Bombyx mori: one gene and its partner. The protein of the gene in region 1 purifies or fractionates together with the protein of each later gene. This does not show direct contact. Links are inferred from orthologs where the notes say so. Each region holds a gene or a part of one and is shown in the gene's direction. Other genes may lie near its edges.

The links. Proteins that work in one complex are often made in the same cells at the same time.
Region 2: the proteins of splicing factor 3A subunit 3 (region 1) and Phf5a purify together in Homo sapiens (affinity purification with mass spectrometry; 3 studies listed by BioGRID and IntAct, with this or other methods). This does not show direct contact. The link is inferred for Bombyx mori from reciprocal best matches to the Homo sapiens genes SF3A3 and PHF5A.

The regions. Positions count from the first base shown.
Region 1 is NC_085112.1:8,788,711-8,795,324, reverse strand, and holds the end of splicing factor 3A subunit 3, read left to right. Parts: intron 1-145; coding exon 146-306; intron 307-508; coding exon 509-634; intron 635-1,097; coding exon 1,098-1,290; intron 1,291-4,419; coding exon 4,420-4,621; intron 4,622-4,876; coding exon 4,877-5,010; 3' UTR 5,011-5,068; downstream 5,069-6,614. UniProt on the Homo sapiens protein: Component of the 17S U2 SnRNP complex of the spliceosome, a large ribonucleoprotein complex that removes introns from transcribed pre-mRNAs.
Region 2 is NC_085114.1:14,382,602-14,389,183, reverse strand, and holds Phf5a (PHD-finger 5A), read left to right. Parts: upstream 1-3,323; 5' UTR 3,324-3,378; coding exon 3,379-3,430; intron 3,431-3,504; coding exon 3,505-3,695; intron 3,696-4,138; coding exon 4,139-4,228; 3' UTR 4,229-4,845; downstream 4,846-6,582. Other genes in the region: ATP-dependent RNA helicase DDX47, read right to left, coding at 1,498-1,756, 1,927-2,046.

The DNA.
Region 1 (6,614 bases):
ATGAAATTATAAAAATATAATTGTGTACTTCATTTTATGAAAATAATTTTGTTTAGTATTATTATATATTGAATTGAAATTAAATTTTGAAAATAAATTTAGAAAATGATTAGTACTGGTAACATTGACATTTAAATTCTTGTAGAAAGAAACTGGTGGAGCTTTAACAAATGTGGGGGCGCATTTAGATCTGTCGGCTTTTTCATCATGGGAAGAGTTGGCGTCTCTTGGCCTGGACAGATTAAAATCAGCTCTTATGGCTCTCGGCTTAAAATGTGGTGGAACTTTGGAAGAAAGAGCACAGAGGTGAGTATTATATTAGCTTTTTTTTCGTAAGTTTACAACATTGTAACTATACTGAGACCTTAAAACTCATATCTCAAGGTGGGTGGCCGTATTTACGTTATAGATGTCTATGGGCTCCGGTAACTACTTCACAGCAGGTCGGCTTTGAGCTCGTCCTCTTATCAATACTATAAAAAAACATTTAATATTTTTTTTATTCTAGGTTGTTTAGCACTAAAGGTCAAACAGCCCTTGACAAGTCTCTTGTTGCGAAAAAGGGAAATAAGGCAAAGGCTACCACACAACAAAGACAAAAAGACATTGCTGCAATTGAAGCACAGGTTTATAGGTAAGTAGATTATTGTAGAATATATTATTCAATTACCAAACAATAAAGAATCAATATCCAAATCAATATTCAAAATAGTGTTGGTTACTAATTTTATAATTTACTAACTAAAACATCTAAGCAACATGCAAGGAATATAGTTTTTAGACTGCAGAGTGAAAACTGATAGATTTAGAAAGCAACTTCTTTGTGCAAGCGAGGCTGGAGTGGAGCAACGGTAGAGCTAATATAATGAAAAGTTGTACCAGAACAGTACTAGAAGGTTTATCTCTAACTCTAGGCATGTAAATAGGATACTAGGACTAATAGTAGAGTAGGATACAAATGCAATTGATATTGATTTGGTTAGCCATGAGGAAAAGCTTAATGTGTATACAAGACAGGATAATACATTAAGTGTAGGCTTTCTTTGCCCTAAAAAGAAACTAACATAAGAAGGTGTTATTTTGATTGAATTCCATAGGTTCGCGACTATAATAAGTAGTACACGAGCATCAACTATTGAAAATGTAACGCGTCGTGCTGCAAGAGCTGCTGGTGAACGTCGCGACGAAAGCGGTGACGAAAGTGATGCTTCTGCAGCACCAGACCTTGATTCAGATGATGATGAAGTGCCATATAATCCTAAGAATTTGCCACTGGGATGGGATGGAAAGGTGAGTTTTAGATTATTATTTGCTAAAGTTGTGAAAAACAGTTCGAATGTAAACATTACTCATGTATTAGTAAATAACAGGCTGATGGGGCAAGACATCGCGTCTATTCATATCAAATTATGCAACTATGACTGGGGTTGAGGTTCAAATGTTCTGATTTGTTTCATGTTTTATAAATAAATATGCATTGAATACATATGCATGAACTTCTTTGAAACCTCATAATTATTAACTGCATAATTCTGCAACAGAATTAGAAAGTAAATATGCAGGCGAAATTTTATAAATACCTAGTCAGGTCATAAGTATTGTCACACAGTAAAAACTTTTATTTTAGAATGCTGGCCACAAAAAAGTTTATTGAATTCGAATTTCGATTTGTTCATGAAAATAAAAATGTATACTTTTAGAATTTTACTCATTTTTAAATATGGAGTGGACGCTTAAAGAAGACCGTGTTGCAGTTATTGCGTTGCATCGTTGCGGTTACGCGCCAATTCAAATTTTTAACATACTGAAAAATTTGAATATAACCAAAAGATTCGTTTATCGTACCATCAAACGATACAATGAAGACTCTAGTGTAGATGACAGGTCAAGAAGTGGTCGCCCTCGGTCTGTTAGGACTCCAGCAGTGATAAAAGCTGTGAAGGCGCGAATTCAAAGAAATCCCAAACGTAAGTAGAAACTGTTGGCCCTTCAGATGGGGTTAAGCAGAACCACGGTGAAAAGGGTGTTAAATGAAGACTTAGGGCTTCGGGCATTGGGAGGCCATGGCCAGGTTTTGTGACCTGGTAATGGCGTCCCGTGACGCTGAGGAGCGTGAAAGGGAGTGGGATCCCTCTTCAGCACCTCAGCGCAGAAGGCGGGATGGCCGGCGCGGGCGTGAAGCTCCCGCTCAGCCCCCGTAGGGACTATCAGGTGGCGGGTGCGGGGGCGCCCGGTACTCGACTGTCGGTCCGGTGGTGGAGCGGTGCAAGGTGGCTCCTGTGCGCCGCCCACGGTGTATCTCCCGAAATGACGTCCTTCGGGATTTTCCCGGATATGAAATCCCGTCTTATCATCAGGACGGATACCGGCGAAGGCAGACTTTCGGCGCGCACTGCGGTACCGTATGTCTGGTGTAGCCGGTGTGGTGGAGCTCGATGGGGTTTAGTCGGTAGTCGTTCTGCGGGGCAAGTGCTTCGCGCGCCTTTTTCAAGGCGTAGTCTCTTGCGAGAAATTCGGGGAGGTGGAGGACCTTCTCGTCCCCCTCTTCCTCTCAGGAGGCGCCGGAGTCCGACATAACCCGGTTCGTTACCCCCCCGGACCGGGTATCCGTAAATGGATTCCCCAGCGTTAAAAAAAAAAAAAAAAAAGGGCTTCGGGCATATCGAAGAAAAACAGGACATCGTTTGAATGCTCGTCTAATGGACCTGAGACTGAAGAGATGCCGCGCTTTGTTGAAGCGGTACGCAGGAAAAAAATATCGGGAAATTCTTTTTTCGGATGAAAAAATTTTTACCGTAGAAGAGAGCTACAACAAACAAAATGATAAGGTGTACGCACACAGTAGTGAAGAAGCGAGCAACCGTATTCCGCGTATCCAACGAGGTCATTTTCCATCCTCGCTCATGGTATGGTTGGGAGTTTCTTATTGGGGCTTAACAGAGGTACATTTTTGTGAGAAAAGTGTAAAAACGAATGCAGTTGTGTATCAAAATACAGTCCTGACGAACCTTGTGGAACCTGTTTCTCATACCATGTTCAATAACAGGCACTGGGTATTCCAACAAGATTCGGCGCCAGCTCATAGAGCGAAGAGCACACAAGACTGGCTGGCGGCGCGTGAAATCGACTTCATCCGGCACGAAGACTGGCCCTCCTCCAGTCCAGATTTGAATCCGTTAGATTACAAGATATGGCAACACTTGGAGGAAAAGGCGTGCTCAAAGCCTCATCCCAATTTGGAGTCACTCAAGACATCCTTGATTAAGGCAGCCGCCGATATTGACATGGACCTCGTTCGTGCTGCGATAGACGACTGGCCGCGCAGATTGAAGGCCTGTATTCAAAATCACGGAGGTCAATTTGAATAAACTTTAGTGTCATAAGAATCTATGTTTTGTTAAGTTCATTTTGGTATATGAATGGTTACATAATGAATAAATTGTTTCAATTATTTTACATTAAACATGTGACAGAATTTATGACCTGACTAGGTATGTATGTATACAAATAGACATTAATAAGATCGCATAAACGGTAGATGCTGAAATATTTTGGCCAAATGTAATTACAGTATAATTTCACTAATTCAGTACTGTTAAAAACTGTTAAAAACCAGAGGGTGCTGGATTAATGGAATGTTCGGTTAAATCTGGATTATAGAGAAAAAATCATTTTTTTTTTTTTTTATTGCCCCTGTAGGCAGATGAGCATACGGCCCACCTGATGGTGAGTGGTTACCGTCGCTCATGGACTTCAGCAATGCCAGGGGCAGAGCCAAGCTGCTGCCTACCGCTTAATACTCTCCACAAGCCTCGTTTGAAGAAGGACATGTCATAGCGCTCGGGAAACACCGTGGAGGGGAGCTCATTCCATAGCCGGATGGTACGTGGCAAAAAAGATCTCTGGAAACGCACTGCCTTGCTTAACAACCTCTTCTCGCATGTTTAGAAGAATTATAACAATACCTTTGGCAGAAATGACGCTTTCTTCTGCCCATGTCATGCAGGTATTGAAACAATTAAATGCTTCATCTGGTTTAACTCTTACAGTTGTATTTAAAGGTTTCTTCTTCTTGTACTACTTCGCATATTTCTACATCTGTCATAATTTGCTCTGTTTCTTCGATCCCTTCTTCACTCAACTCAACTTCAATCCTCTTTCTGATAGATTTTGTAATCAATCGGCAATAGATAGAATATCACTTCAGGATCTCATTCTCCTGTTTCTTCTGTTTCTGATGCATTACATACGCATAAGCGTAGAGGGGCGAGGGAGGCGTGGACGGAGAGTGCCAGATTATTGGACATGTCAGTCTAGTGAAGTGCCGGATCAGTGAGAATATACTGTAAAAGATTCCAAAACAAGATATAAATAATTTTTACATATTCCATAATAATAAATGTAAGAATGGTATTTCAGCCTATTCCATATTGGTTATACAAGTTACACGGTCTCAATATAAGCTACAATTGCGAAATTTGCGGGAACTATACATACAAGGGACCGAAAGCGTTTCAGAGACATTTTGCGGAGTGGAGACACGCTCACGGAATGCGATGTCTTGGAATACCGAATACAGCTCATTTTGCCAATGTCACACAAATTGAAGATGCCCTTGCTTGTAAGTTAACGTTCTTAATTTGTTTCACAACTTTTTGTACACATCAAATTTAGCTGTATTTCTTGCCTTCTCAACTGTACTAAGGCTTATTTCTACAATTCGGCATTTGCTTTTGATAAACTTCATCATTTAAGCACCTCCGAAAAACAACAGTGTTAAAATTTATTCCTATAGTCATTATATTATTATTATAGTAAATACCAAATGAAAAAATAATTATTAAAGGTTGTTTTAAAAACACATACTTACTTTCAGTGTGGGAGAAAATTAAACAACAGAAAGAAACTGAACGTTTCGTGGCAGAGAATGATGAAGAATTTGAAGATTCTCAAGGCAATGTTGTAAATCGTAAGACTTTCGAAGATTTAAAACGCCAAGGACTTCTATAAGGAGTTTTTTCATGGTTCTTATTTTTATGATTCGTATGAAATAAATATTTCGTGTATAGATGTTGTTAGCTTTATTTTAAAATAAAATTTGCAATCTGTATGAACTTTGCGCCAAAGCTTTAGAGCCTTTACTGATTTGTGTTGTTCTACTCCGTCATCATAGTAGTCCTTTAGTTCCGTTCCGTGTTTAAATCGATACCCCATATCTGTAAAGAAAATATTATGTACTTTTATTCATTAAGGAATCTTTATCTAGACTTGAATTCCTTGATTGAATTGGAATTTGGCACCAATTATTTAAAACTTATGGCCTCAGTGTATAGATTTTGTTTTTACGTATATTTTATCTTGTATTGTCTTGAGGGCTGGGTGGACAAGCCACCCAAAGTTTCGAACATTATTGTCTTTTTTGTTTAGACCACGACCCCAAAAGGTGCTATACTTGAACGGACGGATGAGTGGACGAGCTCACAGTCCACCTGGTGTTAAGTAGTTACCGGAGCCCATAGACGTCTATAACGTAAATGCCGCCCCTTACCTTGAGATATGAGTTATAAGGACTCAGTATAGTTACAATGGGTTACAACGGCTACAACGGCTCCACCCTTTAAATTGAAACGCATTACCTCTTCACGGCTGAAATAGGCAGGGTGGTGGTACCTACCCGTGCGGACTCACACGAGATCCTATCACCAGTAATTACGAAAATTGTAATTTTGCGGGAATGCTTTTATTACACGATGTTATTCCTTCACCGTGGAAGTCAATCGTGAACATTTGTTAAGTATTCGCCCTGCATATTTCTGCCGTGAAGCAGTAATGCGTTTCGGTTTGAAGGGTGGGGCAGCCGTTGTAACTATACTGAGATCTTAGAACTTATATCTCAAGGTGGGTGGCGCATTTACGTTGTAGATGTCCATGGGCTCCAGTAACCACTTAACATCAGGTGGGCTGTGAGCTCGTCCAAACATCTAAGCAATAAAAAAAAAAGTATTTTATTACAAAAATTGGTACTCGCCTGCCGGATTCGAACATCGTTGCATCGCTTAATACGAACGTATCGAACATTTCGTCCTTTTTTAGGCCACGACGACTTTAATGAAAAATTTGATAATTATAAAAAATATTTTTGGCGGGAAAGCATATTTGGCGTTTTTCCGGTTAAAAACTGTAGTAAAGGTCGCTAATTAAGAGCTAAGCGTTTCACAAGTATACTGGAGTTATTTAATTTCTTCTCATCTAACATCTACAGTGGTGTATTACATCACCTCATTTAGTTACCTTTCAGTTTCAAATTTTTAAACTGCTTGCTTTCCATTTTATTTAACCATTCACACGTGGTGACGCGATGACGTGACTGACACACAGACGTGACTGACCTTTGGGACAAAAAGTTCTTACTGCATGGGCAGCGTTCCTTTTGCTTGTCTAATGGACGAATCAAAGGGTAATCAGCATAGAGTTACTATTCTAACTGGAGTGCTTACTTCGTTTGACATAAAAACTAAAAATATACTTTATCTCTATGGCTTAAAGTTTATTTTTAAATAGCAAAAGATGTAAGGAAAAACGGTCTGAAAAGAGAATGATTATTAAGTGGTGGT
Region 2 (6,582 bases), on another chromosome or scaffold:
CAAAAGTTCCTACTGTGCTAATTGTCAATAGTTATGCACTTTCTATTTTGACAATACAACCTTTGCATATTACAATTGAAATCTCAACTAAGTCAGCAGCCTCCATTTTCCAATGTTTATGCGCTCTAGTAACCACTTATCACTAAGTTTTTTTTTTTTATATGATTGAAGGGTTACTGGTAGGAGTGGGTGATATAAATCGTATATAGATTCAATATCTATATATCGCAGCAATATCGTTGAATCCGATATCGCCCCGCACGAAATCTATATATCGATATCAGCCGATACACGATATTGCTCGATGTGATGCGCATCGCCATATCGTACCGATTCGTGAATCGAAATCTATATTTCGATATCAGCCGATACACGATATTGCTCGATGTGATGCGCATCGGCATATCGTACTCTTTAATATCAGCAATATTCGTTTGGTTCGTATCGAATCGGCCAGAGTGAGTGAGCGCACGATAGGGATATCATGTGATGAATGAAACAGAAACAGGCATTATCCATACAATTGTAAACCTTATATTTAAGCCCATATGTCTGTAGATTATTCTTAGCGTATCAGCAGGATACAATTAAGGAAAGAAGTTTCAACTTTCGACCCTAACTTGAATGCAGTATAGCCTATTTGCATCGTTGAATTTAATTTCACGCGCTTTGACCTTGAACTAGAATTTTTGGACAAGTGTTTATAAATACTTAAAAAATTTTTGTGTTTGATTTTTAAAGTACACATTTTTCTATTTTTAGTTGAATCCAAATAATTGAGTTTATTTCTTGTGTTTGTATTAAACTTTTGAAATCTACACGCTTTTGGTATATTTTGTAATTTTAAATTAAGACACAAAATACTAAAAACTGAAAATAATGTAGCCAGTCCTAAGCCTGGTAAAAGCATGAAGGAAAGTTTTTTTGATATTTTTATTTTCATGTTCTTTTTATTACTTTAAGATCATATTATAAATTGATATCAGAAAACCAACCGTATAACGTTGACTTAAATCTATATCTACTACGATATTATATCAGCGTATCGTTTCAAATCTCAAATATCATGAATGGAGAAAATCTACTAGCATCCATCAATATATAGATTCAGAAAATATATAGATTCAATATCCGATATTGATCCTCGATATATAGATACGATTCGATACGCGGCAAAACCGATATTACCCACTCCTAGTTACTGGTGGCCCTGAGAGGTCTTTCCAGTTTCACCAGGACAGGTGGGCGAGCAAAGGCTCAGCCAGGAGGGGTGGGATTTGGTGGGATAGGTAGGGACTAGATTAGGGATCTCAAAAGCAGCTGCTGCGCGAAGGAATCTCTATAATGAATCACTAAGTGTGCTATAAGCTAATTAATGAGTTACTCAACTACAACAATAATAAACACAATCAATTTCCTCATATTTACATACATATTCTGTTATTGCTGTTTGCTCTTGATAAATGAACAAATTGTAATTTAACTTTATTATCTTACCAAGTGCTTCAAATTGTTCTGATATCTGAAATGCCAGTTCCCTTGTTGGTGTGAGTATAAGTGCAAAATATCTCTGCGGGTTCTCCAGTAGTGCTTGAAGTATGGGCAGGGCAAAGGCACCTGTCTTACCAGAACCTGTCTCGGCAAGACCAATGATATCTTTGCCTAGTAACGCGACGGGAATAGCTTCTTTTTGAATCTTAGAGGGTTTCTTCCATTTCAATTCTTCACAAGCCTCGCAGAGTACGTCTACAACTCCCTGTGGTTAAATGCAAATATAATCTTATGTTAATAACCTCAAAAAGTGTTATTTTTATTCAACGTTGAAGCAATTTAGTAAATCTAAGGCACCATTTGATATTAAAATCAATAAAATTATATTACAGTATTTACTTAGTATTACAAACACAGTTTAATGTAAAAACTTACCAAATCCTTAAATGTTATTTTATCATCTTCAGTATCTTCGTTGACATTTTCGGTTGGAGTTTGTTCCACCTCACTATCCTGGTTGGTTTCGTCTCCATAGCTTTCCTTGTCTGCAGTCATTTTCTCTAAATTATCATTGTTTTGGGGAATACAAAAAAGACGCGAATATTGAAAGCATGTGTTTGAATTAGGGGTATGCTGATTTCTGATTTCTGATTTCTGAATCTATCACATATAATATGTGACGTATGTGTCACCAAAGAAGTAAAACTGTCAAAAGTATACTTGACAATTAAGACCGATCGCAAACCGGCAATTAGACTTTTTGGTGGGAACGCGAGGAGTGAAGTTGTGTGATTTGTTTTATTTTGTCTATTTAGTGTTTCTTCAGGTTTAAATGTGTAATAACGGTGGTTTATTAACTGTTTAATATCTGTGACAGTGCACAAATGTGGGAAAATGAAACAAAGCCACTGGACGTAACTTCTCGGGATCCTCCAAAAAGTCCACTGAAAAAATCTCAGTAAATGACCACCATTTTACTGAGATTATATTTCATCCCATATCATCTCATCTCATTTCATTTAATTTCATCCCAGTTGATTGTTGTCTCAAATTAATCATCTTCATTTCATTTCATATTATCGTTTTCCATAAAAATACCCCATATTATATCATCTCATCTCATTTCATTTTATGCCATGTTTCATAAATTAATACACTTCATTTCATAGTATCATATTTCATAAAATAAAAAAAAATATATAAAAGGTTAGGCTGTATGCTATGATACCTTTGCCTTTCCATTTGGAAAAATGAAACTACTACTACTACTTATCTATGGTGCCAAATTATAGGACATGGCTTCGGCCTTAATGAAATTTTTATTTCAGGATATGAGTCGTCTATTATCAAAGGTGGCAATCTGTGCATTTGGACAAAAAAAAATTATTGATATGTCAATACAGATTGTTTTGAATATAATCGTCTCCTTCAAAGAATACGGTTCAAAACCTGCATTAAATAAAGGTTAATAGTTAACCTGTTATTTATCTAAGATGTCGTTCCGAAGAGTTTTGTGACTGCCAATGGAATACAAAGTCAATAATTCGTTTTTTCTGATTTACCAATCATTGTCCAAAAGTCAGATTGCCGGCTTTGATAATAGTCGACTCATATAATTTAAATCCTATAAGACCTGGCTTTGGCTTTATTATAAATTTATATCAGAAATTATATAGAACAAATGAGGCGGTATGGGCTTAGATCCCTTTGCCTTTCCTAATAAGGAAAAATTGTAACAAAAAAATATATCTATGGTGCCACTTGTCAAAATTACCGGGTCAAAATCGTCAAAATCTTTGTAGGTTATTCGATAAAAAAACAGTAAACGGCAAGTTTGATAATAACAATCAAAGAACATTCGCCAGCAGACCAGACCTAACTAAAAACATGGCAAAGCATCATCCAGATTTAATTTTCTGCAGGAAACAGCCCGGAGTCGGTTAGTAGTATTAAAAAATGGAAGACAACCAAGTTTAGTGTCGCTTGTTTTAATGCTATTTCTTATTTTTCCAGCTATTGGACGTTTATGTGAGAAATGTGACGGAAAATGTGTGATTTGCGATTCTTATGTGCGTCCGTGCACGTTGGTTCGTATTTGTGACGAGTGCAACTATGGCTCGTATCAGGGGCGATGTGTGATTTGCGGCGGGCCTGGAGTATCTGATGCTTATTATTGTAAGGAGTGCACGATACAGGAGAAGGATGTAAGTTTTAATTTTGTAATTTTTGAACTCAAATAATCGCATCGAAATCATTAATTTAAATTTCCTCAAATCAAAAAACATCGTTATATTTTGATAGTTTAAAAACTCACAAGAAACTAGTCAACCTGACTTGATCAAGTGACCTGATAATGATTGTGTGCGTCCCCAATATCATGTACATTAAGCCAAGCCTAATAAAATGTATAGCCAAAAGGATTGTGGCATTGAAGTGGCATTGGGCAGGACACATTGCTCGTAGAACAGATGGCCATTGGGGCCAGAAAGTTCTTGAGTGGCGACCGCGTATCGGAAGACGTAGCGTGGGTAGGCCTCCCACAAGATGGACCGATGGACGATGGCAGTGGACGTCTGTGCGCTGATAACAATAATAATAATAATAATAATACATATTATTATGCTAATAAAATTGTTATTTTTCACAGAGAGATGGCTGTCCAAAGATTGTCAATTTGGGAAGCTCTAAAACAGATCTGTTCTACGAGAGAAAGAAATATGGGTTTAGGAGACACTAGCATTAGGTTTCTTTTTAGTTTTTAAATATTAATTTCTGCAAAGTTTCTGTTATTTAAAATAATAAAAACAGAGGTTTTTCTCAACTAAAGTTTGATTGAAATACAAGTTTGTTTTTATCAACTACTTTGTTGTTGACTTTTTAAAGCCAACGGCTATTATGATCAAGTATGGTTTTCAATGTCTAAAGAGTTGCAGCTCGGGTCCAAGAGAAATTCACATATATTTTTTTAAATTCATTCATTTATACAATTGGATTGTTGTTATCGATGATATCTGTTATTTTTTTACAATTTTTTTTATCCTTTGTTTATTCAATGCAGATTAGTTTTCATTTTCCAACTAGAAAGAAAATACTTGAAAAATACATTTAGTTTTTGCATTTAAATTATTAAGATTCATTTTTATTTTTTATTTTTCTACTAAATTGTCAATAAAGATATTTTTGACTACCATGTGCTCTGTAAAACTACAGACAATATGTTAGCAATATTCATGTATGTAATGAGAGTGATTGTACTGTGTGAATGTTGTCTGTCATATTTTGAAAACTATGTTTCTAGTGTGTACTTACATTAAGACATTATGTAATTATTAATAAATGCATTGGTATTACACATTTAATGGCCCTACACTACCATTTTCTCCTTCGTCATGGGTCTGGGAAACAACCAAACATAACTAAGTAATTTCTAATCAAATATCTTTTGACTATCCGGGAATTACACATACCTGGACTATATTATATCTTTATATATATATATTTCTTATGTGCGTGTGTGTGTCACTGAACTCCTCCTTAACGGCTGTGCTGATTTGAATGATTGTGTTTGTATGCATTTGGGTGGCACCCTGGATGGTTTAGATTCACAAATCAACCCAGCAGAGGGCGCTGCAGTCGGTATCTAGGTTATTTATCTTTCCTAGAAATAATTTATATGGTAAAACAACATTTGCCAGCTAGTAGTATTATATAGTACTAGTCAGTAACACTATATAATTACACAATGAATTAGGTGGTCAAGCAAATATTTTAAAGTTATGGTATTGAATGAGAAAACTATTATATCGAGGGGTGAAGGGGGCTATTTGGTTTAAGCGACATTTTTGCAACTACAGGAGAGCCATTTAAACTAAAGTAACATTTGGAAAAAATATAATAACAAAAAACTTCTTCAACTATTTGAATGGGGTAAACTTAATTGAAGTTTAACTAAAAACATCGAATTGTTGGTACTAATAATAAATTAAATGAACCTTTAATTACGAAAATTAATTTCGGTTAAACCAAATAGTTTTCACCCCTCTCTCTATATACTGTAAAAACGGAGACTTAGAACTCATACCTCAAGGTGGGTGGTGGCACTTACGTTGTAGATGTCTATGGGCTCTGGTAACCACTTAACACCATGTTCGCCGTGAGCTCGTCCACCCATCGAAGTAAAAAAAAAAATGTCTGAAAAGACTGGGTTATAAATATAAAAGCTTTTTCAAATAAAAAAGACTTGGAAATCTAAACTGGTTTTTATTTCACTCAAACGTAAATCTAAGCCACCAATTACAAAAATAAAACTTACGACATTTTTTGTTAAATTCAAAGCTTTATTTGAAACTAACCGAAACAGATATGGCTTACTGTTTTATAAATATAGACATTGTTTTACAGACACCATATTCATCATCATCATGCTTTCCTATTACCCTCTGCTGGGGTGTAGGGCTCGAATCAAATTTTTCCATTTGTATCGGTCTTGGGCAGTCTGTTCTAGCTCCTCCCACGTCATGCCCAAGACCCCTAGCTCCTGCTCCACCGAGCGACGCCAAGTTGTTCTGGGGCGGCCTCTCTTCCTTTTACCAGACACTTTCCAGGTCAGTGCTTTGACACCATATTACATAACAATTAATATACAATAAAGATGAAAAGTAATAATTCATCTCTTCTAATTTCTGCCATCTCATATTAGAAACATCAATAGAGAAATGGCTACTGGTCAGATTAATCAAAATAGCCTTAAACAGAACAAAAACAACCTCTATGTTATTTAGGGGCCAAATTAAAAGACTAGCTAACTAGATCATGAACTAATTCACAACGACTATCCAAATCTGACTTCAGGTGTCGTGATCATTACCTTGTGAAATTTTAGAAATATTATTTAACCCTTTCGAGTATACGCCGTCGATAGATCGACTCTCTATTAATGCGTAAAAATTGCGGAGCGTCGGAATACCGACTATTGCGCAGTTTGATTATAGATATTAGGTATGTACCTATTGCGGACGTATCTTAGAGCGTCCATGTAAAAAGTTTTTAATAAGTCAATAACATTTATAAATAACAATTTAAAAATACTTT